Neurospora crassa OR74A: one gene and its partners. The protein of the gene in region 1 interacts with the protein of each later gene in a pairwise test. Links are inferred from orthologs where the notes say so. Each region holds a gene or a part of one and is shown on either strand. Other genes may lie near its edges. The genes, in order: NCU03085, NCU06540, NCU08026, NCU02305, NCU02546, NCU06678 and NCU11251.

The links.
Region 2: the proteins of NCU03085 (region 1) and NCU06540 interact in a two-hybrid assay, tested with the Saccharomyces cerevisiae proteins (2 studies listed by BioGRID). The link is inferred for Neurospora crassa OR74A from reciprocal best matches to the Saccharomyces cerevisiae genes LSM8 and PAT1.
Region 3: the proteins of NCU03085 (region 1) and NCU08026 interact in a two-hybrid assay, tested with the Saccharomyces cerevisiae proteins (3 studies listed by BioGRID). The link is inferred for Neurospora crassa OR74A from reciprocal best matches to the Saccharomyces cerevisiae genes LSM8 and MTR3.
Region 4: the proteins of NCU03085 (region 1) and NCU02305 interact in a two-hybrid assay, tested with the Saccharomyces cerevisiae proteins (2 studies listed by BioGRID). The link is inferred for Neurospora crassa OR74A from reciprocal best matches to the Saccharomyces cerevisiae genes LSM8 and COQ1.
Region 5: the proteins of NCU03085 (region 1) and NCU02546 interact in a two-hybrid assay, tested with the Saccharomyces cerevisiae proteins (2 studies listed by BioGRID). The link is inferred for Neurospora crassa OR74A from reciprocal best matches to the Saccharomyces cerevisiae genes LSM8 and NOG2.
Region 6: the proteins of NCU03085 (region 1) and NCU06678 interact in a two-hybrid assay, tested with the Saccharomyces cerevisiae proteins (2 studies listed by BioGRID). The link is inferred for Neurospora crassa OR74A from reciprocal best matches to the Saccharomyces cerevisiae genes LSM8 and XRN1.
Region 7: the proteins of NCU03085 (region 1) and NCU11251 interact in binary tests that used the Saccharomyces cerevisiae proteins (3 or more experiments, as listed by UniProt). The link is inferred for Neurospora crassa OR74A from reciprocal best matches to the Saccharomyces cerevisiae genes LSM8 and PRP4.

Annotation. Positions count from the first base shown.
Region 1 is NC_026501.1:4,492,938-4,496,609, forward strand, and holds NCU03085 (small nuclear ribonucleoprotein Lsm8), read right to left. Parts: upstream 2,266-3,672; 5' UTR 1,786-2,265; coding exon 1,752-1,785; intron 1,595-1,751; coding exon 1,518-1,594; intron 1,412-1,517; coding exon 1,220-1,411; 3' UTR 738-1,219; downstream 1-737. Other genes in the region: NCU03084 (inosine-uridine preferring nucleoside hydrolase, variant), read left to right, coding at 1-737; NCU03086 (HpcH/HpaI aldolase/citrate lyase family protein), read left to right, coding at 3,188-3,371, 3,434-3,526, 3,584-3,609, 3,662-3,672. UniProt on the Saccharomyces cerevisiae protein: Component of the nuclear LSM2-LSM8 complex, which is involved in spliceosome assembly. The LSM2-LSM8 complex plays a role in the biogenesis of the spliceosomal U4/U6-U5 tri-snRNP complex by accelerating PRP24-mediated annealing of U4/U6 di-snRNA.
Region 2 is NC_026504.1:1,578,099-1,582,191, forward strand, and holds the start of NCU06540 (topisomerase II associated protein), read right to left. Parts: upstream 2,801-4,093; 5' UTR 2,444-2,800; intron 2,012-2,443; 5' UTR 1,965-2,011; coding exon 1-1,964. UniProt on the Saccharomyces cerevisiae protein: Activator of decapping that functions as a general and active mechanism of translational repression and required for P-body formation. First decay factor recruited to mRNA, at a time when the mRNA is still associated with translation factors.
Region 3 is NC_026504.1:3,956,973-3,960,592, reverse strand, and holds NCU08026 (3' exoribonuclease), read right to left. Parts: upstream 2,446-3,620; 5' UTR 2,253-2,445; coding exon 2,120-2,252; intron 2,061-2,119; coding exon 1,333-2,060; 3' UTR 1,261-1,332; intron 1,199-1,260; 3' UTR 501-1,198; downstream 1-500.
Region 4 is NC_026507.1:2,992,345-2,996,406, reverse strand, and holds NCU02305 (decaprenyl-diphosphate synthase subunit 1), read left to right. Parts: upstream 1-1,262; 5' UTR 1,263-1,739; coding exon 1,740-2,927; intron 2,928-3,008; coding exon 3,009-3,170; 3' UTR 3,171-3,658; downstream 3,659-4,062. Other genes in the region: NCU02304 (hypothetical protein), read right to left, coding at 1-544, 607-858; NCU02306 (hypothetical protein), read right to left, coding at 3,659-3,728, 3,956-4,062. UniProt on the Saccharomyces cerevisiae protein: Assembly of polyisoprenoid side chains.
Region 5 is NC_026501.1:2,685,352-2,689,285, reverse strand, and holds the start of NCU02546 (nucleolar GTP-binding protein 2), read right to left. Parts: upstream 2,801-3,934; 5' UTR 2,469-2,800; coding exon 2,159-2,468; intron 2,098-2,158; coding exon 1,732-2,097; intron 1,677-1,731; coding exon 1,513-1,676; intron 1,132-1,512; coding exon 112-1,131; 3' UTR 1-111. Other genes in the region: NCU02545 (hypothetical protein), read left to right, coding at 3,164-3,934. UniProt on the Saccharomyces cerevisiae protein: GTPase that associates with pre-60S ribosomal subunits in the nucleolus and is required for their nuclear export and maturation.
Region 6 is NC_026505.1:4,232,173-4,236,376, reverse strand, and holds the start of NCU06678 (exonuclease Kem1), read left to right. Parts: upstream 1-1,404; 5' UTR 1,405-1,969; coding exon 1,970-1,974; intron 1,975-2,059; coding exon 2,060-2,153; intron 2,154-2,221; coding exon 2,222-2,528; intron 2,529-2,587; coding exon 2,588-4,204. UniProt on the Saccharomyces cerevisiae protein: Multifunctional protein that exhibits several independent functions at different levels of the cellular processes. 5'-3' exonuclease component of the nonsense-mediated mRNA decay (NMD) which is a highly conserved mRNA degradation pathway, an RNA surveillance system whose role is to identify and rid cells of mRNA with premature termination codons and thus prevents accumulation of potentially harmful truncated proteins.
Region 7 is NC_026501.1:4,871,908-4,875,838, forward strand, and holds NCU11251 (pre-mRNA splicing factor), read right to left. Parts: upstream 2,578-3,931; 5' UTR 2,421-2,577; coding exon 2,376-2,420; intron 2,312-2,375; exon of another isoform or gene 2,288-2,311; coding exon 2,254-2,287; intron 2,199-2,253; coding exon 697-2,198; 3' UTR 501-696; downstream 1-500. UniProt on the Saccharomyces cerevisiae protein: Involved in RNA splicing. Is required for the association of U4/U6 snRNP with U5 snRNP in an early step of spliceosome assembly.

The DNA of each region.
Region 1 (3,672 bases):
CCTTCCTGCGCGCCAAGGAGCTGGTTGTCATGGGTGGTGCCGTAAACGTCGAGGGCAACGTGACCCCCGTCGCCGAGTTCAACTGCTTCGCCGATACCGTTGCCGCCGCCCGCGTCTACGCCCTGACCTCGCCCAACCCGAGCTCGACCATGCCCCCTGTCATCCACGGCAAATCTTTTTTGCCCCCTTACCCCGCCAAGCTTTCCAAGCAGCTTAAGCTGACCCTTTTCCCTCTTGATATCACCACCCCGCTCGAGCTGAGGAAAAAGTACTTCTACGAGACCATCCAGCCGATCACCAAGTCCGGCAGCCCGCTTGCGCTGTGGATCGAGACCTTCATGACAGGCATCTTCAACAAAGTCGAAGCCATGCTTGGCGACGGCAGTGAGCCCGGTCTGTCCCTCCATGACCCGGCATGCATTTGGTACATGTTGACCCAGGATGACCCCGCATGGGAACCCGTGGCGAAGCCGGAAGATATTAGAATTGAGACCTCCGGCCAATGGACCAGGGGCATGCATGTCATCGACAGACGACAGAGGGCGAAGCCGGGTGAGCAGTCAAGCAAGGTGGAGACGCATCCGTCGGATCCTCTGGATGCGACCACCTTTGACGATGTCCCCGGAGACGACATGGGCTGGCTAAGCGTGAACAAGGGAAACAGAATTAACAGGATGGTCAAGACCCCCGGCGACGAGAAGTTTGCCGCCATCTTGATGGATAGACTCTTTGGTTGAACCTGCCGGCAGCACTTGTTGATTTTCTTCTTCTTTTGTATATAGAAAGCGAATCTATTCCACGCGGAGTTTTTGAGATCTGGGGTATCTGAAATCAATATTCGCTGGGTTCCTTAAACCGAGAGCTGGACCTGCCCGTGACACCTTGTTTTATTTTTTCTTCGTCGGTCAGCATAAGTCTTAACGGGGAAGTAAGAGGGGAAGAAAGATCGTCGATTGGGCATACCAATGTAGTAAAAGAAAACCTGTAGCTCCGCGTGTCAAATGCTAATGATGCAACCAAATCTTGTGTGCCACGCACATTATCCACCGGTGTTGTCCTTTATGTCAACTGCCCGCGACCGCCACACCGTTCGACTTTTGTCTTTTTTCCCCTTGGTTTCCTTCTCCTGCCTCCTCTTCTTGGTTTTGAGGGAGCGTGACACCATGCTTCACGCGCTCAGGTATAGCGCAGAAACGGTTCAATGGTTCGGTGGTATATTCTAGTGCTTTGTCGTCCCAATCGTAGCCCCCTTGACTTTGGTCCAGTCTATGCTCTCGTCCAGCGGCTCATCAACCAACCCAACCAGGCAGACCGTGTCCCCGCGAATCATGTGCGTTCCCAGCTCGATCTCGGCCGAGGGCTCGTCATCATCGGGGGAGCGAATGACTCGTTCAACTGCTCTTTGTAGGAACTAGTTTGTTGGAGGGTTAGTTGTCGTTCGCGATATGCTTTGTTTTGTTTATCAGGTGGCAGAGGAACTGTATCGAAGTATGGATTGGGAGGGAGCATATACTGACCACATTCGTGCTCATGTCTACCGAGATCAGTGTGCCTACTAAGGTGCGGCCATCGACTGTAATTATGCAAACCTTTTCTAAAGTAACGAAAGATGGATCTGTTAGCTTTCTGGTCTTGCGAATATCCTTTAACTTTGGGATGCCGTGACCAATTGATCTTGTGACCGAAGCAATGGAGGAAAGAGGAAGAGGGGTCGAAAAAGCCGAAGGGCTCAGGTAGAAGGGTAGACCAACTGTTGAGGTACGAATTTACCAAGCCCGCCGACATGGTGACGGATGAGTAGATGCTATTACTGTAGTCTTTGTGTGTTTTCTCGTACCGGCAATGCGCGGGCCCAAGACCGCGGTGATAAGCAAAGTATCACGTAAAGCCCACGGTCTAACTTGAAGAGTATTGATTCAAGCGAAACACGTGGTTGCAGACAGAAAGTCGTCGGTTCAACTCGAGGGCAATTTGTTCGCTTCGTGTGATCTTGGTAAGCCCGGCCGGATGGGGTCGTTTGGTCGTTCGTCGCTTCGAATGGGGCAATTGGTTCGTGGTTATTGATGTTTTCGTTTCTCGTTGACCGATCGCGAAAGAGGAATACAACCTGGTCGGCGCGCCGCGTCAAAGAAGAATAGTGGGTACGTAATGCTGGCGGGGAGGGATGTGGTTAAATCGTGGGGATGGGACAAGAACGTCGCCGTTGAAGCTGGAGCTTCTCTTGTTCTTCCGTAGAATCGCCAAGCCCAGATCACTGACGACGGCTCACGGCAGACAACGTACCAGCACTGTGGTGAAGGCTGGAGCTTCTGAAGCGGATCCATTCTCCACTCAATTGCCTGCCGCAAAAGCGACGCTCACCCATCAGCTTGCCCCTTTTCATTCGGGAGGGTTGCTTTGTTTACTTTTATCCGCTTTGGGGTGTCAATGCAGCCCTCAACTGTTTTCGGTTGCTGCTTGAATAATTGCCTTCATCATCGTATGGTCTACCATCAGAAATGCAGAGCTTTCTCCTCCTGGAGCTTCTCGTCGCTGACTTGCGGCAGTCTCAAAGAGCCCTATGAAATTCTGTGGAAGCTTATACGTATAGCAGGGCCAAGATGCGGATGTCAACGTCCACCATGGCTTGAAGGACTTCCATGAGACCATTCAAGCCCATTGAACCTGCCGTTCCCGTGACTCGGAAAGTTTGAACATGTCAATAATCCGAATACCGGCAGAGGTTGTGGTGTCTCCAGTCAGAACAGCCTAGGTAGAACCGAATGCGGAGGGAGATACAGACGCGAACCCCGCAGTAGGAGCCCCGCCCTACTGTGTATCTCTTGGACGAAGGCAGGGGACGAACATCTCCCGAAGGTGTACCAAATTGGCCAGCAATTGAACTTGTTCACCCAACGCAGCCAGTACATTTCCTCGCCATCTGCCGTCAGGTTATTACAGTTGACCTCGAGTATGTGGCGGCGGGACCTTGGTTCGGAGCTGCACATCAACTTTGAAATCATAGTGTGTACTGTGTGTTATCGGATTTGCTTTAAAAGAGTTCGGGTTGACTTAGTCCGAGCTTCCACCTGCATCCCCACTGACTTGGCATGCCTTTCCTCCCCTTCGTACGTTAAAACTCCTGAAGCATCATATCTCTTCACTGAACAAAGTCGTTCACGTCACTCCGCTTCACCAACTCCGTACAATGTCTTCCGGTAACCCAACTTCCAAGATGCTGGCGGCCAATTCGTTGAAGCAAATCTTCACCCAGGAAAGCCGCCCTGCTATGGGTGTCTGGCAGATGCTACCCGGGGCCAATATCTCGAGGATTCTCGCTCGATCGGGGGCTGACTGGGTAATGGTTGACTGCGAGCATGGAAACATCGACGGTAGGTAACCCGTAATACGGTGGTGAATGATGGGGCTTGTTGAGCTGAATGATATTGGTCAGATGCTGCGATGCACGAAGCAGTTCCGGCCATTGCTGCCCTGGGCGTTTCTCCTATTGTCCGGATCCCAGACCTTCAGCCATCGATGGTCAAGCGTGAGTGCCATTCGTATTGCCTTATCACTCAGACGGTTACTGATGTACCCTTTACAGGAGCGTTGGATAGTGGTGCGCATGGAGTGAGTGTATAAGAGTATCCTGTGTTGGAGACATTTTTCTGACGTGCTCCAGATCCTTGCGCC
Region 2 (4,093 bases), on another chromosome or scaffold:
GCGGCGTTGAACTGGATGTCATCAGTTGTAACCTGAGCTTCTCGGACAACGTCGAGTTGGTCGAGATTCACGACAATGCGTGTGAAAATGGTAATTCTTTGCTCGTGGTTCGTGTGACGGAAGATGCGCGGTATGGCTTTCTTGCCCTTACTGTAACTGAGAAGGGCCATGAAGGGGTGGATGCGGCCTGGCTGGTCGTGATCCTGCACCCTCAGAGCCTTCCAAAGCTGCTCATTCAACGCCTGTCCCTCGTTACTCCATGCAAAGACCTTGGCAAGAGCTTCTTGATCGTCCTCGGCAGGCGCCATAGGCATGTTGCGTTCGTGGTCTTCCATCTTCATAAGTGTAGTGTATACCAGCTCGAGGGCCCTCAGTTCGTCCTTCTTGTCCCGGCCATTAACAGGATGCGGTGCCTTCTTCACATCGCTGGCGCTGTCGTTACGCTTGATGTTGAGAAGCGGCTTCGGGGTCTTGGCGTTGCTGAAGGAAATCTTGCCCAAGCTACCTTCAATAACAAGCTGCTTATTCTTGGGCTTGTTCTTGGCCGCCTCAACAGCACGCTGGACCTGTTGTTCCATCCTCTGCATATGGTTTTCAGGACCCCTGTTATGGCGGCGCATACCTCCTTGACGGCTTCCTGTCTGAAACAGATAAGTCTGAGCGAACTGGTTCAGAGGCTGGCTGGGGTGCTGGCGATGGCCAGCCTGGATCTGACTATGGACTTGATAGTAAAAGTCCTCGGCGAGTGACTCGTCTGTGCCGTGTTCATTGGGATTTCCAGTGGCTGCGACAAGCTGCTGAAGCTGGATCCGGGTGATGAAATTCTTGTCCTGTGGCGTCATGATACCATTGTCGCGAGACATTTGGAAGATCTTGTGGTTGCGCTTGGCGCGCTTAGCTTCCTGTTCAAGATACGCAGCCTTTTCCTCCTCCGAGAGCTGAGCCAGCTGGGCAGGATGAAGAATCATAGGGGGCTGTCGCGGAAGAGAGCCTTGTTGCCTGTGGCCCTGGTGAGCGGACTGAGGACCGGACGGAGGCGTAGGGTGAACAGGCAGCCCGATCTTAGCCGCGTCGCCTGAAAGACGGTTGGGGTTCTGCAGGATCTGAGTAGGCTGCTGAGGAACAGCGGGTTGCTGATGCTGTTGAATAGCGGGCGGTTGGGAAGAGGGCTGGGCTGGCGTAGGAGGCTTCGAGTGAGGCCGCTGAAGAATTGTCATGGGATGTCCCTGCGGTTGATGGTACAGAGGTTCAACGACACCGGCTTGGAAGTGAGCCTGCGGCTGGTTCTGAGCTTGGTGCTGGTAGAGGTAAGCCTGTTCATGTGGAATTTGATGGGGCTGATGCTGAGGAGCGGGAGATGGGGTGGCCGCCTTAGCCTGGGCGCGCATCTGAGCCTCAACCTCCTCAAGACTCAGCATCTTGCGGCCCCCAGACGGCGCGCTAGGGACGGCAGGTTGAGCAGGCGGCGGCGGTTGCTTCTTGGGTGCGACACCCCAGAGAGCAGCGTCAACCTGAAGATCCTCGATCGGCTGCTCGTGGTATTTTTCGTAGCCGGTCCTGGCAGGTCTAACTGGAGCCTGCGCGAAATAGTTGTACGAGGGTCCGGCGATGGGCGTATAGGCCGATGGCTGCGCGACAGGCTGGGGAGCCTTGGCAGCTGGTTGTTGGCGGTTGAAACGAACATTTTCCTCTTCAATGACGTTCGCGACCTTGGCGGTGTGGCCAAAGAAGTCAAAGTCTTTGCCTACAGGACCCGGCTCGCCAGTATCGCCGCCAAAAGTATCATCATTGAAGGCATCGTCGGTCTCATCCAGCTGGTCACCCAAGCCGTCATAAGTGTCCTCGAAGTCGATCTCTTCGGCTTCCTCGTCCCGGTTGGCTAGGCTGGCAAAGGGATCGTGAGCCTGGGAGAAGCCGGGAGCGGCGGTATTATGGCGAGACTGGTCGAAGTTGAAGAAAGACATATTGGCGATGCCTGTTGGGTTTATGGAAAATTTCTACAGAGGTATCACTATTGTAGGGTCAGTATACGTTGAGCGAAGAAAGATCGTTGCGGCGCAAATCCGGGTGCGATGTTGAGCTTTGGCTGATTGGCAAGGGCACAGAGGAAAATGAGGGGCAAAGCAAAAGACGAGACCCTGGTTGGTGAGTGGGACGAGAAGTATAAAGAAGGAACAGCCGTGACGCAGGTTCACGAAGTTCTGGGTGGAAGGGGAAACAGGAAGGGCTTGAAGGTCCAGTGGTCAAACAGCCCGAGCCAAGCAGAGGGGCGACTCGATGGATGTTCCACCTAGCTGGGGGTGGTGAGCTGTCTCTTGAAGCGCGGGGCAACAACAACGACATGGAAGATGGAGAATTGGGACATGGGAGCCCAACTTTCATCCCATGACCTTGCCATACCGAGGTTGCAAGCACGCTGTAGAGAAATCAAAGAACAACGTACAGAACGATATGTAAAGATGTTGGTATGATCGGTTTGGTCAAGCACCATGATGCTGCGATGCGCGACGTGAAGGGAAAGGAGACGTGTCGACGGCGGTGCGACTCGTGCAAAGGAGCGGAGCAGAGCTTGTCAGGGCGGCAACAAATACTCAGCGCTCGGCTTGGAAATATTAAAACAGAGAAGCAAAGAAGGCTGTGAACTAACGACCGGAAGCGCAACTGGGTGCGCCGCGGTGAAGATGTGGATGCGGTTGCTCGGAGTGGTAGCTTGATGGCAGCGCAAAAGGCGACAAGAGACCGACGCAGATGGATGAAGTCAGGCCAACTCCAACTCAGAAGCCAGATCAGGGAGCTGTGGACCAATCGCCCCCGAGGGCCAATGGAGCCTGGCAACAGGTGGGCGGGCGGCGGTAGGCCTGACGCTTTGACACACCACCCTCCTGTCTTGCCGTTCGTTGACTGACGATGGGACTTCCAAGGCCGCGGCCGGGGGAGTGATTGCCACGGTTGGGCGGCAACCAGAGGCCCATTGCCTGCCGGGCTGTGGGATCCTCAACCGCCGGCAAGAATGTCCATTCCATCCTTCCAGTCTTGCAAGTTGTTTTATCCGATGAGCCAATCGGCGATACCCGCCCGCTAGTTGTGATGCGTAACAGTGATCAACTGGAGGCTACAACATGAGACCCGGACGGGACGGCAACCTCATGGTCAACATTTAACGCCAAGCCGACAACCAAATTTCAAGCTCGAGATATCGATTTTGGCAAGAAAGCTGAAGGGCAAGGACAGTAGCTCAGGCATCCATTTTGCTGCCGTGACATCCGTGACTAAACGCAGCTGTTTAGACTGTGCTTCTAAGTATGTGAATTCGCCATTCCGATGCAGGTGAAGCGGAAGCGCGGACATGGACAGAGGCAAACATGGCATGGCTATCTTAAGGCTGTTTTCTTGACAGGTGACTTTACTGTACATAGTATGCAGTCGAACTTGAATTATATCAGGGGCCTGGTATTTCCCTGTTGTTTCTTTTGAGAGGGAGGTATCATGGCCATCACTCAAGTCGGTGTTCTTCGCCATCTTGAAGAACTACTCCGATCGGAGGAGCAATGCGGAGGGAGCAGGCCGGCAGCAGATCATATTAACCCAAGTATCATAGTATGAGCTAATCAGCCACTTCTCAGCGTGGTAAAAGGATCAAGAAGCTCAAGACATACCCCTCCGTTGACGGATGCGACATGTGAACTGAAGTCGTCGTAGAGGTAGGTAGTGCCCCTGGAAGTTGACGACGCCCGTCTCAAGGGGGTTTTTGTCCCTTACTAACAGGGCCACGCTAGAACCGTCACGGCCCGCAATAATGGGGTACCTGCGGATACAGGTGACGACGAAGCTGTGGGGGCACCGAGGGCACCCTAATGTCTTTCCCTGCCGCCTACCCCCGCGGCCAATCTTTTGGTCCTGGCCGGACGGAAACATTGAGGTGCTCAGGGGAATGCACCGCAAGCGACCATCAGGAACGGGGAATGCGATAGCTTCTGGTAGGTATGTAGATATTATTTAGGCCACTTGCGGACGTTGCTGAGGATGTTGTAGGTAGATACCGACACTTTTGGGATGTTTTCATTACAGGCTAGTTCGCACCTAACTACCTCTA
Region 3 (3,620 bases), on another chromosome or scaffold:
GAATAATTAAAAGTGTACAGTGTGGTAGGTAGGTAGGTAGGTAGGTAGGTAGGCAGCCGGGACCGTCGGAAGAAACGAGAGTAGGGGTGGTTTTGGGAAAAGTGAAATGACCAGGTGCGAAGCGAGAGAAAACTCGCCCGAAAGCTGGGTGAGGTGAGATTTTGGAGGATGACGGGAAAGATTGGATTGTCAGGTCGTTTTACAATTCCCGCCTGAGTGGACAATGTGGGCCGAACTGGGAAATGTCTGTAGTTTTTTGGAGGGACCGTGGGGGGGCAGATAAGGAGAAGTTCAGGGGAAAGAGGGGCCCGGGACCACGCCACGCCGGGGGGCGCCCCGTCGCTGAACGCGGCCGGCACTGTGCCAATATGTGAGTGGTGGTACCACGTCCGCCTTCGGATGCAGTGACTTCAGTTCCATTGGGTTTCCTTGGTGGCGTTCGTAATGCTGAAAGTTACGGACCAGAACGCCGGTAATAACGCAACGTTACTCGATCTTTGTGCAGATTATGTAGTTGATCATGTTATGTTACCTCCACCTCGAAATGTTGATAAAGATACGAGCTATTCACCACAGTCCCCTTCAGATAAAGTGATTAGATCGTGCCGGACACGAAAAGAAAGTAGTTCAGGTGTAGTGTATGTATGCCCTACGCAGTAATAGTGAAACCTCGGTTCATGATCAGCCACCACCTTTGGCCATGTCTGCCCTGCTTCGAACATGCCGTGCTGCTATGAACGAAACGATACGCGTAATCTCCCCACATCATGTTTCCAATTTCAGAAACAGACGATCATTGAGGCGAAGAACGTGGAAGCTTCTCATACCCCGCGGTTCATAATGTTTCGGCAGTCAACCTCAGAGGGTAGCTCTGCATACCAGCCACAACGCTTCTTGGACGTCATTCGTCCATCACACTGCGATCTTCCAGCTGAGTTTCAGCAAAAGAGCGCTCGCTCAACCTGTCAGACCTTGACAGGCATCTCGAAACTATTCCCGCCGGAAGTTGACCATTCCATTCTTGCAGTCAGCCGCCGAACCTCGGAACGCAGTTCTGTTGTCGCTGCTATCGATTGGCATCTTCCGTTACTTCTGCCCTACATATGGGCTATTGCGAAAGACCAAGTGGCTGGTAGCTCGACCTATTGCATCAGAAGCTGGTCTTCGGGTCGATAAATCGACCAAAATCGTAGAGGTACTCAAAGACCATGAACCGTCAGACCATAGAATTCCATGCGTTTTTCCCGTTGATGGACTTACAGGTTTCAATACGAGTATTTCCCATTCGCGCATAGCTAAAACAAATAATACATTGCCGCGCCGACCTCATGATCACCCAACGGTCTCGTTCAGGCAGTCCACGAGCACGCGGTTGGCGCTCTTGGAAGCCTGAATGCCCTTTTCAATCAGCTGCGTATAAACGTCCATATCGGACGCAGGTAGGTCACCCTTGAACCAGAGGTTGGTGACCTCTTGTCGTGTGGGAAGATATGCGATGCAGCACGCTGCAAGAACCTTCTCATGCTCAGAAGGAATCGGGTCGACAACTATGCTGGGAGCAGCGTCATTACCTGCGTCCTGTACCAACGCAGCAACACCTCCGGCCACAGTGTCGACGCAGTCAATGCCAGCGTCAGCAAGTGCAGCCGAGGCAACGGTGATGCAGCCACTCAAGGCATTCATGGTGTCCCAGGCCTCAATACCCTGGGCCTTGGAGGTCTCCCGATCTTGCTCTCCTTCAACAATGGAGATGATGATATCCACTCCACTCTTTGGCCAACGGTCAGCAATGATAGATCCCCGAAGAGCCGTCTCAAGGTGAGTGCCGAGATCTCTCTCGATCGGGTCACGAATGTAACCACGCCTTTGCTTGGTCGCAAAGGGTGCAAACTTGACATGGGTGGACAAGATGATGTGAGGAGAAAAAGGTGTTGACCTGGGCAAAGCTCTAGGTCCATGAACGCTGCAACTGAGCTTCAAGCCAGAGCCGCCGTTTCCAGACGACTCGATCTCTAGGTAAGCAGAGCCAGAGGCCGACGGTGTCACTCCCGTCTTGAGATCTAAACGTGAGGTTAGTCTGTGTCTGCGAAACAGGAGGGTTTGTCCTCGACGTGCTTACACATTTTGCGAATTACGTTCGCCGGGCGTGACCTTGTGACCTTGAAACCTTCGGATTGCTTCTCGGGTGCATCGTCATAGATGGGAGGGTTGGTAGTCCCAACCGGTCCGTTAATACGTCTTCTGTCGGCCATTTTGAAGCCAAGATACGAGGGCCGGAGATATGGTGGGCTTGGTGATTGCTGTGTTGTTTCCGATGCCCTTCTCTGGTCGAAGAATCCTGAGATAGGTGAAGAGGAAGAGACCTCGTCTGTGTATGGCTTTCCTTGTTTCACGGTTGGTAACTTCTGTTGGTACCTCTGTTGACTGTTGAAAACAAGACGTGAGAGTCGCCGTCTACACTGCAGTGGGTCCACTCTCAAATTCAAGTAGTTGTGGCGCAACCTCACATTCACTGTCGATTTTGATCAGTCAGCCACATGCCCCACCCAGAATTCCATGTCAAAGCCACCGATGGAGGAATTTTTTGCGCAGCTACAAAACTCTGCCGCCTTCAGTTCCAACCTCATCTTGAACTCTTCCACCAACCCACACCGTTCGCAACGGCAGGAACGGCTTGCGATTGTCGGCATTGGATCAATGCCTTCATTTGATATGGCCACTGTCTTTGGGGAGCAGCCATGATACCATGGTCTTACCGTGCTCATGGTCGCTTTGGTTGGGCAGCCTTCTGCGCTGGCGCAGCAATGGCATGGTCATGTCAACTGTCCAGGCATGCTCTTGGTTATTCTGCGATGGCGAACCCCATTGCTAGAGAGCATGTCCTGGCTGTCTGACATGGCCGACGTTGGTTCGCACGGATAGAGTAAGTTTATTTCCCCTTGCCTTTCACATCTCATGATGATCCCATAACCACAGTTCTCGCGATAATCTCTGAGCGATCGAACAAACATGCACTACCATCTGACTACTCCTTCAACACATCCTTCACTTGCAACTCATTTGGAGGAACCGTTGACTGACAATCAATAGTACAGACAAAGTTGTTATTGTCACCGTTGCTGTTCCACTCCGTTTTCTCAGTCTCTACCCACTAGGTAAGCATCACATTGTTTTCCTTTCTGTTTTCTTTCCCCCACCTGACATCATCACCCACCCGATTGTCCATGATGAAACAAAATATTTTCAGTTCTGCTTCTGAATAATAATGAGCGATAACCAATTATACCAAAACCTTCTGATATGGCAATCACCCCAACTCTTTCTTGCAACGACAGCCCTCACCACACATGCTGCGAGCAAGTTGGCTAACAAACTTCAAGTTATATAGGATCTGAAAACGATCTTGCGTCTAGTGGGAGAGTCGACATGCCCATCTGGTAGGTACTTTGCCTTTTTTTTTTTTCCTTTGTCCCATGCACAATGATGACAACAGTCTATCCATTCAACGATATGTACGGGCCGAGCCATCCATCCGCACTGGAGCGTCTTTCGGGGCGTGAGGACTAGTTGTGGTGTCTCCCTTCGGGGTGTCATTTGGCTTCCGTTGTCCGAGTCTCCTG
Region 4 (4,062 bases), on another chromosome or scaffold:
ACTTTTTGCGTCTTCTTAGATTTGTGTCCTCGGCCGCAGACTCCTTATTATTGATGGCAATCAGCTTGTCTGCTGCCTCTTTGTCTTCTGGTCCAACAACCCACGTCTGCACCACTTCCTTGACCTCCTTGAAAGTCTTGTCCTTCTTCTTCGCCTGGCCGAGATGCCACACGTATCCCGAGTACAGAGCTACTTCAGCAACACCTGCGATGATACTGCCTCCCATGGTGAGGAAAATTCTAGCCGGAGTGCTCCACCAACGCGCCAAGATCCAAAGAGTAGCTGCCACGCCTAGAATGGTGACCATGAAGTTGAAGATGAGCATTAGTTGGCGGTGCACCTCGTCATACGTCACATCATCGTCGCCCATGTCTTCCTTCCGTGTAGGTCTGTTGGCTTCGGCGAATGCCCGAGCCATGCCCGTGCTTGAAGGGAATCGTTGCGAGAAGGTCTCCATGGGTGGAACGGGGTTGATCATGCGTTCATAGACGCGTTCCTCTTCTTCACGGCGAAGTCTGGCCATCAATTCTTTGTATTCATCGGACTGTTTTGGGGATTAGCTATGCCTCCCCAGCTAGTGCAGTGAGGTGAGTAATGTCCACTTACCGGCTCAGGCTTCGGCGGTGGTGGAGGCACATAAACCCTGGAACCTCTCAACAATACCTCCAGGCTGTACTCTTTATGGTGACCGGCGGCTTTGAGTAGATTTCGCAAATCCATGATTTGACCATGTGAGATGGGTGAACCAATGTCGACATCGGTTAATGACGGCTCGCCATCTCGCTGTAGTTTACTTGGGCCATCTGGAACTCTTTGTAGAGCTTCCAAGATGGAAGAGGTCACTGTGAGGAGGACCATGATAGCGTAGTATGATTTGGGTGCGTAAAGTGTGTGATATTTATGCTTGTTCTGATGTCATGGAATGATGAAACGTCGCGAGGGAGCTGTTCCTGGTGTTGTCACTCGATGAGATAAATGCAGTGGAGTCATCAGGTGCACCCAACCCCGAAAACCCCGTTTCTCCAAATTCAGGTCCCTGTACCTGGAGCTCTCACACAGCTTGGATCGATTCAAGTCGAGCTTGTCTGAAAAGAGCAAGATCCGCACCACCAGCCTCAGATCACTCACAAGTCCCCCGAGCTTCAGCCACGTGAAAGCCACAAGAAATGGGACAAATGCCCGCAATGCCAAGCTTTTGGACCTGCAGAGAGGGGCTTATCTGCTGCAGTGAGAATGGAAGGTGACGGATGATCCGAGCGCCAAATTTTTGGAGGATGGAACTTTTCGGGATCGGATGAAGAGGAGCAGTCGCCGTTGTCACGGTACAGTTGTATATTGTAAAGGTCAAGTAAGCCGCGCCCACCAGAGGGAAGACTGCTTACATACCCACCACCGTCCACCGACCGCCGACCACCACACCCACCTCTTCGCCATCCGGATGGTTGGACTGAGCCTCCTCCGAATTCCATAGTGCCACCACACGACCACAGAAAAAAAGTCCATCTACTGCTCAACCCGTGACCCGTCACACCCGGCGACAAGCAAAGCGAGAGCTGTTTTTTTTATTTACTTTCACAACCGACTTCCTGCCACCACCCGATCGGTCCTCAACAACCCCACGACAGTCGCATCCCAGCTCCGAATACACCCTTACATGCAAGAGACACTTGCCAGCTAAACAGTCAACAGTCAATTGGTCCTTCTCGGCAAGAAGGACGTGCGCGGGAAACACGGGAAACATGCAGCTCCGGACGGGAGCGGCTTCGGTGGTTCGGACGGGTCTTGGTCTTACACAGTCGAGATGTGCCGTACAAAGCCTTACAGCAGTGCCCCTCGAGCGGAGGATACGGCAGTCCAAGGCCTTCTACCACAACACCAAGAAGAACGACTCGGCATGGGCTGCTGCTGTCTCGGTGGCCGGCAACATTGTCAACAATGCCGTGACCAAGGCCATCAAGGGCACCGACGGTCTGCCCACCATTGACCCTCTCCGTCTTGTCGCCGGCGAGATGAAGTTCCTAACAGGCAACATCCGCAAGCTCCTGGGCTCTGGCCACCCCTCGCTCGACCGCGCCGCCAAGTACTACACACAGGCCGAGGGCAAGCATGTGCGCCCATTAATCGTCCTTCTCATGTCTCGCGCCACCGCTTTGTGCCCCAAGGCTCCTCAAAGGCAACAATCGACTCTCCAGGCCTCGGCCGCCATTGATACCTCGATCTCGCCTCTCAACATCCTCTCCGACTTCAACCCTTCTGACGCCACTCCCGTCTCCATTCCCGCAGATACCGACATCCTCCCTTCCCAGCGACGACTTGCCGAGATCACCGAGCTGATCCATACCGCCTCGCTTCTTCACGACGATGTCATCGATCACTCCGAGTCCCGCCGCGGCGCTCCCTCCGCCAACCTCGAATTCGGAAACAAGATGGCCGTCCTGGCTGGTGACTTCCTTCTTGGCAGAGCCTCCGTCGCCCTTGCCCGCCTCCGCCACGCCGAAGTCGTCGAGCTTCTTGCTACCGTCATTGCCAACCTTGTCGAGGGCGAGTTCATGCAGCTCAAGAACACGGCTCGCGACGAAAAGAACCCCAAATGGTCCGAGGAGACTCTCACCTACTACCTCCAAAAGACCTACCTCAAGACCGCTTCCCTGATCAGCAAGAGCTGTCGCGCGTCTGCGCTGCTGGGCGGCGCTGATGCGGCGACGGTGGATGCTGCCTACTTGTATGGCAAGAACCTCGGCTTGGCCTTCCAGCTGGTCGACGACATGCTGGACTACACTCGCAGTGAGAAAGAGTTGGGCAAGCCTGCCGGTGCTGATCTTGAGCTGGGCCTGGCGACTGCCCCTCTACTGTTTGCCTGGAAGACGATGCCGGAGCTTGGTCCGTTGGTTGGCAGGAAATTTGAGAAGGAGGGTGATGCTGCTAGGGTATGTTTCTCCTGCTCTGCTAGCTGTTCGATCTCTCTCTCACACACACACTCACACAAATGCTAACATCGTTATGAACAGGCAAGAGAGTTGGTTCTCCAGAGTAACGGCATCGAGCAGACCCGTGCTCTCGCCCAGGATTACGCCGAAAAGGCCATCGAGGCCATCAGCGGGTTCCCAGACAGTGAAGCCAAGGATGGCCTAATAGAAATGGCCGTCAAGACGCTAAAGCGCAACAAGTAAAGCACCACCAAAAAGCAAACAAGAAAAGGGCGACTAACGGCGGTTATTGTGACACCTCCTGAACGATAAAAAAAAATCAGATGGAGAAATGCATACATATGCTACTATGTAGTAGCCCCTGGGTAGAGTGGCACAAGAGTCGAGATCAAGCATAGAGTAGAGGTAGGTAGCCACATAGGTATGTTTGGCTATGGATGTACAGCAACAAAATATGTGGCTACGGGTGTACAAGCACAGGGGGAAAAAAAGGGAAAACGGGAAAGACAAAAAGGGGCCGGCATGACTACCATAGCTAAAGCAGAAGGCTTTTTTTTTGTGGACGTGGATGTGGTTTTGGGCGGACGACACATACGCGGCATACATACATGTACTATCATCATCATCATCTTCTATGATTTTATAAGGGCGCATTTGCGGGAGCAATGGGAAAGATGAATGGGATTGTTGTAAGAAGGAACCTTTGATTCAGCTCAATACCATGCGGGTTTTCAAGGCATCTTGACTATCGGGTCTGCCGCGTGAACTTTGAAACGGGTCGTATTCCAGTTGGGGATTGATCTGCAACAGTTGATTTTATGGTTATCACCTTGGGTGATGTACATTAGGCTAACCATTCCCTCCTTCCATATCCTCCTCCATTACCCACGTTCGATTCGAACCTCATCTTCTTTCTCTCTTCTACCTAGAGGTATCCTGCCCACTAGGTACAACTTTTTTTTTCTCCTTTCTTTTTTTTCAAACAGCTGCAAACTTTCTTTAACCCCCGATAACGCCTTGACCACTACTTCCCCTCTGAGGTGTGGCTGTCGGAATTCTCGATATCTGCGCCGGCGCCGATGTGAGGAGGTGTGGAGGGAGGAGTATTGTACGGCTGGATAACGGGAGTCATCGT
Region 5 (3,934 bases), about 1.8 Mb from region 1:
TATCAGTGACACCGGCCGTCATGATCCGATTGGATCGTTACCAACCCTGAGGTCGGCTATTGAACGCATGCTCGGTTCACCCCAGCCGCCCATCGCGTTCACTGACCGAGTTTACTTCCTGCTCCTCCTTTGCTTCTTCGGGGGAGGTGCTGGCGCAGCCTCGGCTTCTGACTCAGACTCTTCGAGTTCGCTGGCTCCTTCGATGTCGAGGTCGGATCCTTCCTCGTCATCTTCGACGTCAGAGCCCTCCTCCTCGCCATCCTCTTCCTCATCGCTCGACGCGTCCAGGGGTATCATATCTTCAGCAGTGCTCTTCTCCTCACCCTTCTCCTCAGCAGCCTCTTCGACCTCAGAGTCGCTGTCACTGTCGAACCCGGCAAAGTTCTCAGGGTCTTCCTCCTTGGCATCCTCTCCTGCTGAAGCGGGAGTGGTAGCAGGCGCGCTGTCGTCCTCGTCACGTTTCCGCTTCTTGGACATTTCACCGTAGCGTCCTTCGCGACCCTCCATGGTATCAGTCTCACCCTCCTCCTTTTCGGGGGCAGGCGTGAACCAAGGAATCTTGCCTCGCATGAAGTCATTGAGAACCATCTTCGCAACGCCATCAACGTCAGGCTCACCACCCTTGAGAAGTCTGCCGCCCTTCCTAGCAAGCATCTCAAGGAAATGAATATGGTCCTTCCAGCCCTTGAGCTCATATGTCCTCTCCATGTGGTGAGGTTTGACCTTGTTCAATACCGCAGGGATGTATTGCTCCGGGTTATCGACGTTTTCCACACGTACAACACCACGGAGCAGGAGATCCTGTGGCGTATCGTTCTGGTTGGGAGGAACAATGCCAGGGCAGTCGATGAGGTAGATCCTCCTCATCAAGGTGACGTACTGCCAGACCTTGGTCTCTCCGGGAATAGGGGCGACCTTAGCAACGGGCTTCCCACGAAGGGCATTGATGATACTCGACTTGCCGACGTTGGGGTAGCCAACAAGACCGACGCTGATCTGTTTCCTGTCCTTGTGCAGGATACTGAACTGTCTGAGAAGATCGATCAAAGAACCACGACCGAAGGGGTTCTTGATGCTAGATCTCATAGCACATGTAGGATGATCCTTCTGCAGAACGCGAATCCACGCGGCCTATTGTTTTCAGTTAGTCCTCAACTCGTTACTGAATATAACATATATGTATAATGTGAAGAAATGTGTGAATCATAACTAAGAAGACCACCATGGTAGAGTCTGCTCAAAGGCAGGGTGGAATTCAACTCAAACGAAACACGTCCGGTATCCCGTGAAGTCCTCCAAAACGGAGTCCATCAAATCCCCAATCCCAAGACGGGACCAGAGAGGTTGGGAGGTGGATATTAATCTCCCAGCGATGTAACAGACCAATCCCAATGAAGCGCAACTGAATGCGGGAAAGATCCTGACAAAATCCCTGGGAACCTCAGGATTTGCGCGAGGCAAGTCAAGAGATTCAAGCAGAAGGAGTGAAAGCAAATAATGGTCTACACTTACAGCAGTCTTGGAAGGAACAAGATCGATCTTGTTCAGCACGAAAATAAGATGCTTGTGAGGAGCCTCAGTGGCAAGGTATTTCTCAACGTGACGACACCTGGTTCCCAGAGGATCTCTGGCATCGATAACGTGCAGGATGACATCTGACGAATCAATGACCTTGTCTATGTGATGGTTAGCAACCCGAAGTCACAAGTCCCCAAACACAGAAGGACTTACACAGTTCGTTCCAAATACGCTTCGACTGGCCCTTTGTGAAGATAGCCTCCTTGGCCGTCGCGACACTGAAATCCTCCTCTTGAACATCGTCATCGGCAAGACCACCGCCATATCCAGAAGCACCACTTAGAAGCTTGATCTCCTCGAGTCTGGCCTGGTATGTATCCATGCTCTTCTCGCTGTGTTCTGTCAAGTCACCGATCGTGTTGAAGCTGAGTTTTGGCCTCTTCCTTTGGGCCTTGGGGCCAAAGGTCTGTGAAAACGGCTCGCTCTCAATCGTCATCTTGGCTTGGTGCTTCTTCAACGCATCCTTGGGTCCATCTCTGATCAAGCTCATGGGGAGCTTGTTGCTTTTCAACAGCACCGCTACAAGACAAGGTGCGTTAGTCTTGGTCGGCCGGACAAGTGACGGAAGAGTTGAACGTACAGTAAGGATCCTTGTCCTTCTCGGCAATCGCCTCCCGGAAAGATGTCAACGTATCTTGCGAAATGACTCTGGTGTTGTTGAACCATCTCCGGTTCGGCTCGATGACGGCTGTGGGAACATCTCTGCTCTGATACGACGCGGCCTTGACGACCTTGCCCTCCTTGTTGCGAATGGCCTTTCCCTCCTTCAGCACGTTCAAGGCCTTGATCTTCTTTGCGCTCCGGTAGAAGTTCTCGCCCTTGACCTTTGGATCACCCGTCACCTTGCCCTGTCGCTGAATGCGAGACTTTTCCTTCTTTCCTGTTCCCATTTTGGCAGATATCACTCAATGCCAGATTACCGAGTAGGTTGGTGGGTAGAGGATGCAGATGTGGAAGAATTTCGTTCTCGCCTGCGAGAGCGGCTGGGGGTATCCGTAGATCGGGGGGTTTGAGATTGACTTGAAAGAAGAAGCACACGAAAATAGGGAAGAATGGGTAAAAGGCTAGAAACGAGGCTATGGGGTATCAGATATCGGCAGAGGGTGTTGCGTGAGAATCGAGAGGATGAATGGACTGGGGAAGAAGAAAAGAAGAGAGGGAAGCGAGGAAGGAATGAGAAGGAGGAAATGCAACTCTGCGACTGGTCCCGGCGAAAGTTTTGTCAGTTTTTTTTTTGGGCGGGGTGTGGAGGCCGCGCAAAGGTCCCCATGCACAAAAAGTTTAGCGGTGTACGACGGCAGAACGCCCGCGACCAGCAAAGCTAGTAGCACCAAGAGCACTCTAGCGCCGTTCTGGCCTCCCCGAGCTTTCAGAATTTCGACGGAGTTGAAAGCCCCCTCGTACCGCGGCGTGTCCCACGATCCCGAGCCGAACCTACCTACCTAGGAGAGCGAGAGGCCGCTGCACCCGCCTGGTCCGTTCCCTCCGTCGCACGAAACCTCCGCATAGCACGGCCCGGCCAGAAGTCTCCCAACTCCGACCCCATCCCGCTCACCCCGTCTTCAGCCAACCCTCCACCTCAAAAATGGCGCCAACTCTTGCCAGGCCGTCGCTCAGCGGCGTGCAATTTATCCTTTCTTCCCCGACCACAACATGCGCTGCCACCAGCGTAGTAACACGCGCCATCGCCGCCCGATCTTTCAGCACCACCCGATCGGCTAGAGACTCGGTCTCCATCCCCCCCGATTCGCCCAACTACATCAAGGTCCCCGAGCCGCCGCAGTCTTCCGAGGTTAGGCACCCTTTCGTCAAGGGCCACCTCCCGATCCCCCGCTCCATTTTCCCAAAGAAGGGCGTCCCGGAGAAGGTCCAATCCGGCTATGTCAATCGTATCGCTCCCAAGTCCGCCGCCGAGCTGGCTGGTCTGCCGCCCAAGTCGAAACAAGAGTCGTGGCGTCGCAAGATGGCCGAGGCCCGGCGCCAGTCACTCGAGGCCGGTCTGCAGGGACTCTGGCAGCGCAAGGTGAAGCGCGACCAGAAGCAGGCGAAGGAGAGCAAGGCGCGCTACTTGGCGAACAAGCGGGCGGCCCAGGCGCCGGAGCGTCTGGACGAGGTGTTCACGCGCGCGACGATTCGCGAGAGCACGGCCAAGAACACATTCGTACCCCTGGACCCAGAGGCTTTCGTCAAGGCCGAGGAGGCGCGTATTAAACATGCAGAGAAGGAGGCGATGAAGAGCGAGGCGCGCCGGGACGCCGTCGTCCAGCTGTACGTGGCGTCCAAGAACTTCATCGTGGACGAGAAGGAGCTGGAGGAGCACGTCAACAAACACTTCACCGAGAAGATCCACAACGCC
Region 6 (4,204 bases), on another chromosome or scaffold:
ATATTTTGTTAATACTTCCTTAAACCCGATGAAGAATATTAAAGAGGTTAGAAATTGGACTTTAAAAGATAGTTGTGGCTAGTATAGAATGCCTTCGCCTGGGTTCGAATTCCCAATAGAATACCTCGATAAGTTTTATCTCTCTAGGGAGGAATAGTTCCAGAGGATGTTCGTTGCTAATGGTTAGTATAAGTAAAGCTTGTAATTATATGCGTATTGGGCTATAGTACCCCTCGATCTTCCTTAGGTTATTTTTTTTTTCTTTTTTTTTTTTTTCTTTTTTTATATTATTATCCTTAGGTTATTATTTACAACTAGTTTCATGTGTTGTCTTTATTTAGAGCCGGAATTAAAGTTTTTTATTTTTTTTTCGTTATACTTTCTTATTGTTATATTTATATTAAGGAATATATATTTTATACTATTATATCGAAATAGTCCTAAAGGAGGCGTATTTGGGGTAGCCTGAGGTGAATATTCTTATTGGCTACCTATACGGTACCCGTACTCTAATTTTCTTATATACCTAGGTTAGAGTTTTAATTTACAATTATTAGAAAGGGAATAATAGGAATTACTTCTATAAAGAATACCCGCCACTTAGGTAGCTTAGATAAGTAATTTAATATAGCGCTTTCTCCCCTACTACCTACCTCTATCAATATAAGTGTAATATTGATTGAAAATTGCTGTGAAATAATTGTAAGGCTTTTGTTACTTAGAATAGATATTAATTGTTGAATAAATAAATATAATTAAACAATTATTATATTAATAAGAATATTAGCTTGCAATTAGCAATTTAAGTGAGTATATTTATTATGTTGTATATTTTGTAGTTCGGGTCGTATTGTTGTGGTACAGTTCGCTGTTGTCGTACTTTTGTGCGCTGTTGAACGGTTAATTCCGTTTTGTATACAATACCGCGTTAATAGTCGTTGTACTATTAATTAAAACTACGTATTGTAAAATAAAACCAACTTCAATACAACAATATTCAATTATCTAGTAGATTACAGTAAGAAACAATATTGTGTAAGGATGTTGTAGCCCACAACCCCTGCTCAAGCGTTTTATACTATAAAGGCCTGCTACGCCCACTTTTGTCAGACCCCCCATTCCCTCCAGGGCAGTTCCGTTCCGCTCGTCGAGGGCGGAGGCTCGCTTGAGGTTCGTTACCTTGAGGTTCAGTAGTAGCTGGTGCGGGGAGAGAGCTGACAGTGACAGCCGGGAGCCTGATGAGGTGGCGGAGCGCTCACTACTGGCCTGGCCTGGCCGGGCCGAGCGCTAGTACCTAGCTCTAGAGGTACCTCTACCTCTACGACCGACGCTCACGCCGCCCCCAGGCACACAGTCAACCCGCGTGGGGCAACGGAGGCCAACTAGAAACTGCAGTGTGTCACAGCCTGAACACCTAGCCAGCCCGGAGCCCAGGACCCGACACCTTCTCCGTCCCATCCACACCTCTGACGGACCTTCCACTTTTGTTTCTCTTGCGGTTCCATCTCGTAGACATCACCCACTTCTTCCTTTACCTCCGTCTATCTCGAACATAGGCCGCCAACGTCCTAGGCCACTCCTCGGATTCTCAACCTTTCCGCTTTTCTTAGCACTATAGTAGCTTCTTTTCCCGATTGGCGCTGTCGGTTGCTCCAAGGACACTCCTCTTCTTCCCTTCCATAGACAGCATCTTCAGTCTTGGACCTTGCTGCTTCGTCCCCCCTCGGTTTATTGCACCATTGCGATCCCTGGAGGCTTCGCTATCTAGAAACCCGGCCATTATTATTCAGTGCCGGCATTTGAACGACCAGCTTGACGCCTCTCCTTCGCCCCCTGACAGCAGTAACTAAGTAGACTCCCCGTCTGCGACATCTCCTGCGACCGCTCAGCGCGCCCCAATTTCAGACCTCCTTCGCAAACTTCTAGTAGTGTACACATCTAGTCCGGCACCACAGGCCACTTAGTCAACATGGGGTATATGACTCCCACATCAAAGCTCCTCCCTCGCCGTATACGCGCGCGTTGTTCAGGCGTGTGGCTAATACCCCCTCTTGTCCAGTGTTCCCAAGTTCTTCAGATGGCTCTCGGAGCGGTATCCCGCCATTTCTCAGCTCATCGCCGAGAACCGTATCCCCGAGTTCGACTGCCTTTATGTTCGCTGCTCCCTCCCGAGGCCTGATGGCTGTCTTGCGTTACTTGCCTAGCTAACCGGTTTGCTCAGTTGGACATGAACGGTATCATCCACAACTGTACCCATAAGGACACGAGCGATGTACAATTTCGCATGACAGAGGAGGAGATGTTCATTGCTATATTCAACTACATCGAACATCTCTTCGGGAAAATCAAGCCCAAAAAGCTTTTCTTTATGGCTATAGATGGCGTTGCCCCTCGCGCAAAGATGAACCAACAGCGTGCTCGTCGTTTTCGTACCGCGCTGGACAATGAGAAGGCTAGAGATAAGGCGATTCGTGAGGGCAAGGAATTGCCCAAAGAAGAACCTTTCGACAGTAACTGCATCACACCTGGTATGTCTGGCGCTGGTGCCCGCTTGAATGTTTTCCCCGGAGGCTAACTAGCTGCATAGGAACCGAATTCATGGCCAAGCTCTCGCAACAGCTGAGATATTTCATCCATAAAAAGGTCTCGGAAGACAGGGACTGGCAACAGCCCGAGATTGTCTTGTCTGGACACGAGGTCCCTGGTGAGGGTGAGCACAAGATCATGGAGTACATCCGCAATGCGCGCGCTCAACTCGACTATGACGCGAACGTCCGTCACTGTTTGTATGGCCTCGACGCCGATCTGATCATGCTTGGCCTCCTCAGCCATGACCCTCACTTCTGCCTTCTGCGCGAGGAAGTTACCTTTGGCCGCGGCCCGTCTAAGCATAAGGCAAAGGGACTGGAGGAGCAAAACTTCTATTTGATGCATCTCTGCATAGTCCGCGAGTACCTGGAGCTGGAGTTCCAGGATCTCAAGAAACCTGGAGCCATGTCTTTTCCATTCGATATGGAAAAAGTTATTGACGACTTCATTCTTATGGCATTCTTTGTCGGAAACGACTTCCTTCCCAACCTTCCGCGGCTTCACATCAATGAAGGCGCTCTTTCGCTCATGTTTAGGATCTACAAAGAAATTCTTCCGCGCGGCGACGGATATATCAACGAGGGCGGTAAGGTCAACCTCCAGAGACTCGGCCTGCTTCTGGAAGAACTCGGCAAGGAGGAGTATCGCTTTTTCGAACATGAACATGAGGATCAAAGCTGGCTTCGGGCCAAGAAGATGCTTGAAGATAACGAGGCAGAGACAGCAAAGGCAAAGACCAAGGGCAAGCTCATCGTCACCACGAACCAGAAGAATCTCTGGAAGCAGAAGATCAGGAAATTCCTTATGAATAGGAGCACTAATACGCTTGACCTCGGTACCGAGTTGAAGGCCGAGGACCGCAAGTTTGTCCAAGACTTGGCTGATACTGCTCACATTCCTTGGGCAACTAAGGAAGATGACGAGGGACACCGCCACCTAATCCTGTCCTTCCCCGAGAGAGACGACGAGTCGGAAGAGGACGAGGAAGCCCAGTCAGCCGTTCTCCGTATCATCAAGAAGTACGACAACGCCCAAGTCCTGGATTTAACTGCGGCCGACTCGAAGGCTGCCATGGAGGTTAAATACCAGCAAAAGTTCCAAGAGTGGAAAGACAAGTACTATGCCGAGAAGTTTGAGGATTGGACCCCAGAGAACAAGGAGGACGAACTCCGCAAGTTGACGGAGAATTACGTCCAGGGTCTTCAATGGGTGCTCTACTACTACTACCGTGGTATTGCTTCTTGGCCCTGGTTCTATCGCTACCACTACGCTCCCCTGATTTCCGATGTCATGAAAGGCCTGAAAGCCGACCTTAATTTCAAGATGGGTCAGCCGTTCAAGCCATACGAGCAGCTGATGGGTGTCTTGCCAGACCGCAGCAAAAAGATCGTGCCGACAGCATATTGGGATCTTATGACAAACCCCAATTCTCCCATCATCGACTTCTACCCAAGAGACTTTGAGCTTGACATGAATGGCAAGAAGATGGATTGGGAAGCCGTTGTCAAGATTCCCTTCATTGACGAGAAGCGGCTGCTTGCAGCAATGGGCCCCAAGAACGAACTTCTCTCGGACGTTGAGAAGTCGAGGAACGATTTTGGCGTCGCACTCAAGT
Region 7 (3,931 bases), about 380 kb from region 1:
TTCCCAAATAAGCGAATCCTCCCCGTGTCGCCCTTCAGACAGCTTTGAGCGGGTTGATGCGCATGGGGACTTGAGCTGCCCGGATGCTGTGAGTTGAGGGTATTGTGAATGACGTCTCTCGCGATAAATACCGGCTGGGGATAAAACCACTTGAAAATGCAGAAATGCGAGAAACGAAGAAGTCAAAGGTTCGAAAACGGACCAACGCTACAAGTTCCCGGTGATGGCGTCTGCTGCCATTGTTTTATCGCCCTTTATCAGAAAGCCAAGCTTCGCACGATGGACCGTGCGTCACCATTTCCCAGGGTGCCAGGGTGACTTTACCAACGCCAACCAACGCGAGCGGCAGGTGTCCCGCCCAACCCTGCCCGCGTCACTGCAGAAAAGAAGGGAGAAGGAATCTCAACAGGCCCACTTTCGCGGTCAGGTGACACCCCTTATCCTTACCGGGTCAGTGAAACGCAACCACAAGGCAACTCAGACGCATGTACCAAAGGCAGCTTGTTATGGGCACCCAGTTGTGGTTGTTGATCTACAAATTGAGACGGCTTCTATGCAATCTATCTGCCGATACTGTCTCTCGTGGAGCGGTAAGCCAAGCCCTGGCCTGTCGCTTGCTGAACGCCCTCCTTGGTGTGTTGCTCCTATGCGAGAGGCAACGACAAGATTCTTGTCGCGCACATGATTGATGTCTGCTCAGGAATCATACAAGCTCCTGGAGTCGTTTCTTCCCCAAAGTTTGACCGTCCGGTCATGGCCACCGCTTACAATCCATTTTCCATCCCGGCTAACGTCAACACTCGCAACAGGCCCTGTGTGGCCGCTGAGAGACTGAACCAAGGCCCAGTCGTCAGCGGAAAATATGTTCACCTTGTGGTCAAAGCCTGCCGACACCATAAAGGTGCCGGATTTTTTGGGAATTTGCATTCCCTTTTCATCTTCGCCAGGAGGCACTCCTTCCAACGGGTCATCCAACCCCTTGAACCACCGCACGTCGGCCACTGCACTTGTATGGGCACCAATGCCTCCAATTCTTTCCACTTTTCTAACGTCCCAGCATTTGATCCAACCATCAGCAGACGCCGTGAGCACCCTGTAACCGTCCGAGCCCCAGTCCAAACCATAAATAGGCTTGATATGGCCGTCCTGATGCCCATCTAGAATCATGGCAGTCCGTCCTGTCCGCAGATCCCAGATTCTTCCGATACTGTCCAAACCCGCGCTAGCGAGTAGCGATCCGTCACTGTTATAACTGACAGCGTATACACCGCGAGAGTGACCTTCCTGGAGAAGGAGCTCGGTGCCGGTTTCAACATCCCACATCCTCCATGACGTGTCTTCTGAGGCAGAAGCCAGATACTTGCCCGATGGATGGAACTCTACACGACATACTCGTTGCGAGTGTCCTGAGAGAGTTCTCAAAGGCGTGTCTTGGTTCAAAGACCAGAGATGAATCTGGCCTTCCGCTCCTCCGGAAGCGAGATTGACTGTGTCGGGAGAAACATTGCGCTCCGGCAGTGTAGCTCCAGGCATCCAGCATAGGCCGCTGACTTTGTTGGTGTGGCCCCTCAAAGTCTTCCTTGGCTCAAGGGTTGGGATTTCGATGAGTTTGACCTGTCCGCCCCAATTGCCAGTTGCGACCATGTTTCCATCAGGCGAGATCCTTGTCATGCTGATGTGCCGCTCTCCTGCCGTTTGACTGCCTTGCAATTCAAACCCTTGAAGCTTCTCCTTGATCTCTTTTCGGTGTTTGACATGTGTCCGCAGTGGGATGGTGGACTCCTTCTTCTGGAACTCGATGCGCTTCTTAGCTCTCGGGATTGAGTAGTGAGCGATGTCGATGCGGGCCTGGAGCAGTTCCGGGCTTCCAGTAGTGTAAAATTCCTCCTCTTGGTCGCCGGCTTCATCTTCCTCGTTTTCGGCGTCCCGCATCTCCACATCGGCACTTTCCTGACCTCCCTTTTCGGCTTGTTGTGTCATGAGTTCTCGTAATCTGTCGCGTCTGTCTGCCGGACCCTCGCCGAAGAGGGTGACAGGCTCGCCCATCTCTCGCAATTTGGCTCGTACCCGGCCATCGTCGGTAGGAACAGCAATCGAAGCCGCTAATCGTTTTCGTTCAAACTGCGATAGAAGAACGGAGGCCTTCTCTGGGGCAATACCAGCCCCAGCACCGGGGATGTCGTAGTCGCGATCGAGGGCTAACACGCAAATCAGTCATGGGTTGGAAGCCATACAAGAGTTTTGGGGACTTACGGACGGAGTCTAGATCCATGCCTCCGCGATCCTGCTTCAGGGGGGGTCAGTCCGGGCTCTGTTTGCAATGTTGAGCAGGTGCCTTCAATGATGCGAGGGGCGCATATAGAGCATGGTCTTACCTCAGGCTCGGCCTCCTCCACGTAGGCTCTACGCGCCGGATGCATAGTGCTAAACTTTCGGTGTTTGTTCGTTTGCTAAATCTTCTGGACACTTGAACGCGAGTAAAGCCAGGTGATTCGAGTCCGGCTTGTGGTTGCTAAAGGACCGTTTGATGTGAGGGCTCGATGTTTTGCTTGCTGTCGTGAAATAGCAGGTGATGCAATCACAGGGAAGTTTACAATGCTGGCGCCGTTGCTGTTGCGGGAGCTCCACTAAAATTTCCGGCGCATCTTCGACCCTAACCCTCAACAAGCTGTCCCACCTGAATGCGCTCATCTCGGTCCTAGCACCACGGGCACCTCGTCTTAAGGTGAACCAACGAATCGCCATGAAGCTTTCACCGATCATTCAAAGAGGTACTTGAAATTTCAAAGTTTCATGTGATATGTGATAGATTCCTTGTTGGTGTCAACATTCGTTAATACCCACTTCGCACACGGTAGGTTTGGTCCGAGGTGACATGGAAGCGCGATCACAAACGGTGCGGCCAGTTCCCCCTTCCCAGCCCGTCGATCAATGCGGTTTAATGACCGCCAATCGAGCCCCGGCTGTTCGGATTCCCCAGACTTGTCAAAACTGAAGATCGGGGTCGGCATCCAGCGGCCTTGGTACACTACACTACCTATACACACATGACACCTGCCGTGTGGTATTGGAGGTTCATTTCTGGACATGGAGAGCAACATGGGGCTTTTTTCAGGTTGAAAGCTAGTGTGGAAAAAGCCTGGAAAATGGCCGATGGTGCATTCCCTTTAATGCGGGTGAGACGTATGTCTGATGTCTCTCACCCGATTTTCACGTGCTCTCGCCAATTCCTCCTGGGACATGGAACGCCCGCCAATTCCTCCTTTTCCTTTAAGTTCACCAGACCAATCCAGCTGGTCTTTCCGCCCTTTCAGTTGCTCGCCTGCCCGGCCTGCCCGGCCTGCCCAGACCGTGACGCATGATGTGAACGCTTTTCTCTTTATCGTGGTTGGCTCAATGGCGGGATATTTGGGTGAGGCGGACGCGGCCCCCTGCCCGGCTAGTGCATTCCAGTCCCTAGGGGTACTAAATTGTGCATAGGTAATACCCAAGGTCACAAACCCGGTCCAGGCCCATCCTAATTCACTGCAGGTGCAGAGTCCGGGCTCCATTTTATTTTAACTTCTGCTGCCCACGGAACTCCATTTCATTGTTGCCATTGTCGACCTCTCTCTTCGCACGCTCCCCCAGTCACAACTCTCTTCTTTTTTCTCTTTTCTGTTTTTTTTCTCTTTCTCTCTCTCCTTCTTGACAGTAAAAACCACATCTCATCGAGCCTTTCCACCCTCAATGCATATCGAGAAGACCGTCGACGACAATTCCACTTCCTTCTTCAAGTACCAGATGCGTGCGATTCCAAGCCATCAAGGACCCAGTTTGACCACCGAACACCGCGCAGACGCTCAGCGACGCAGAGGCGAGCCTTGAATACGAAGGCCGACAGAGGCTTTGAGGGATCGTATCTGTCAAGCTATAACGAGAGCTATCTGGT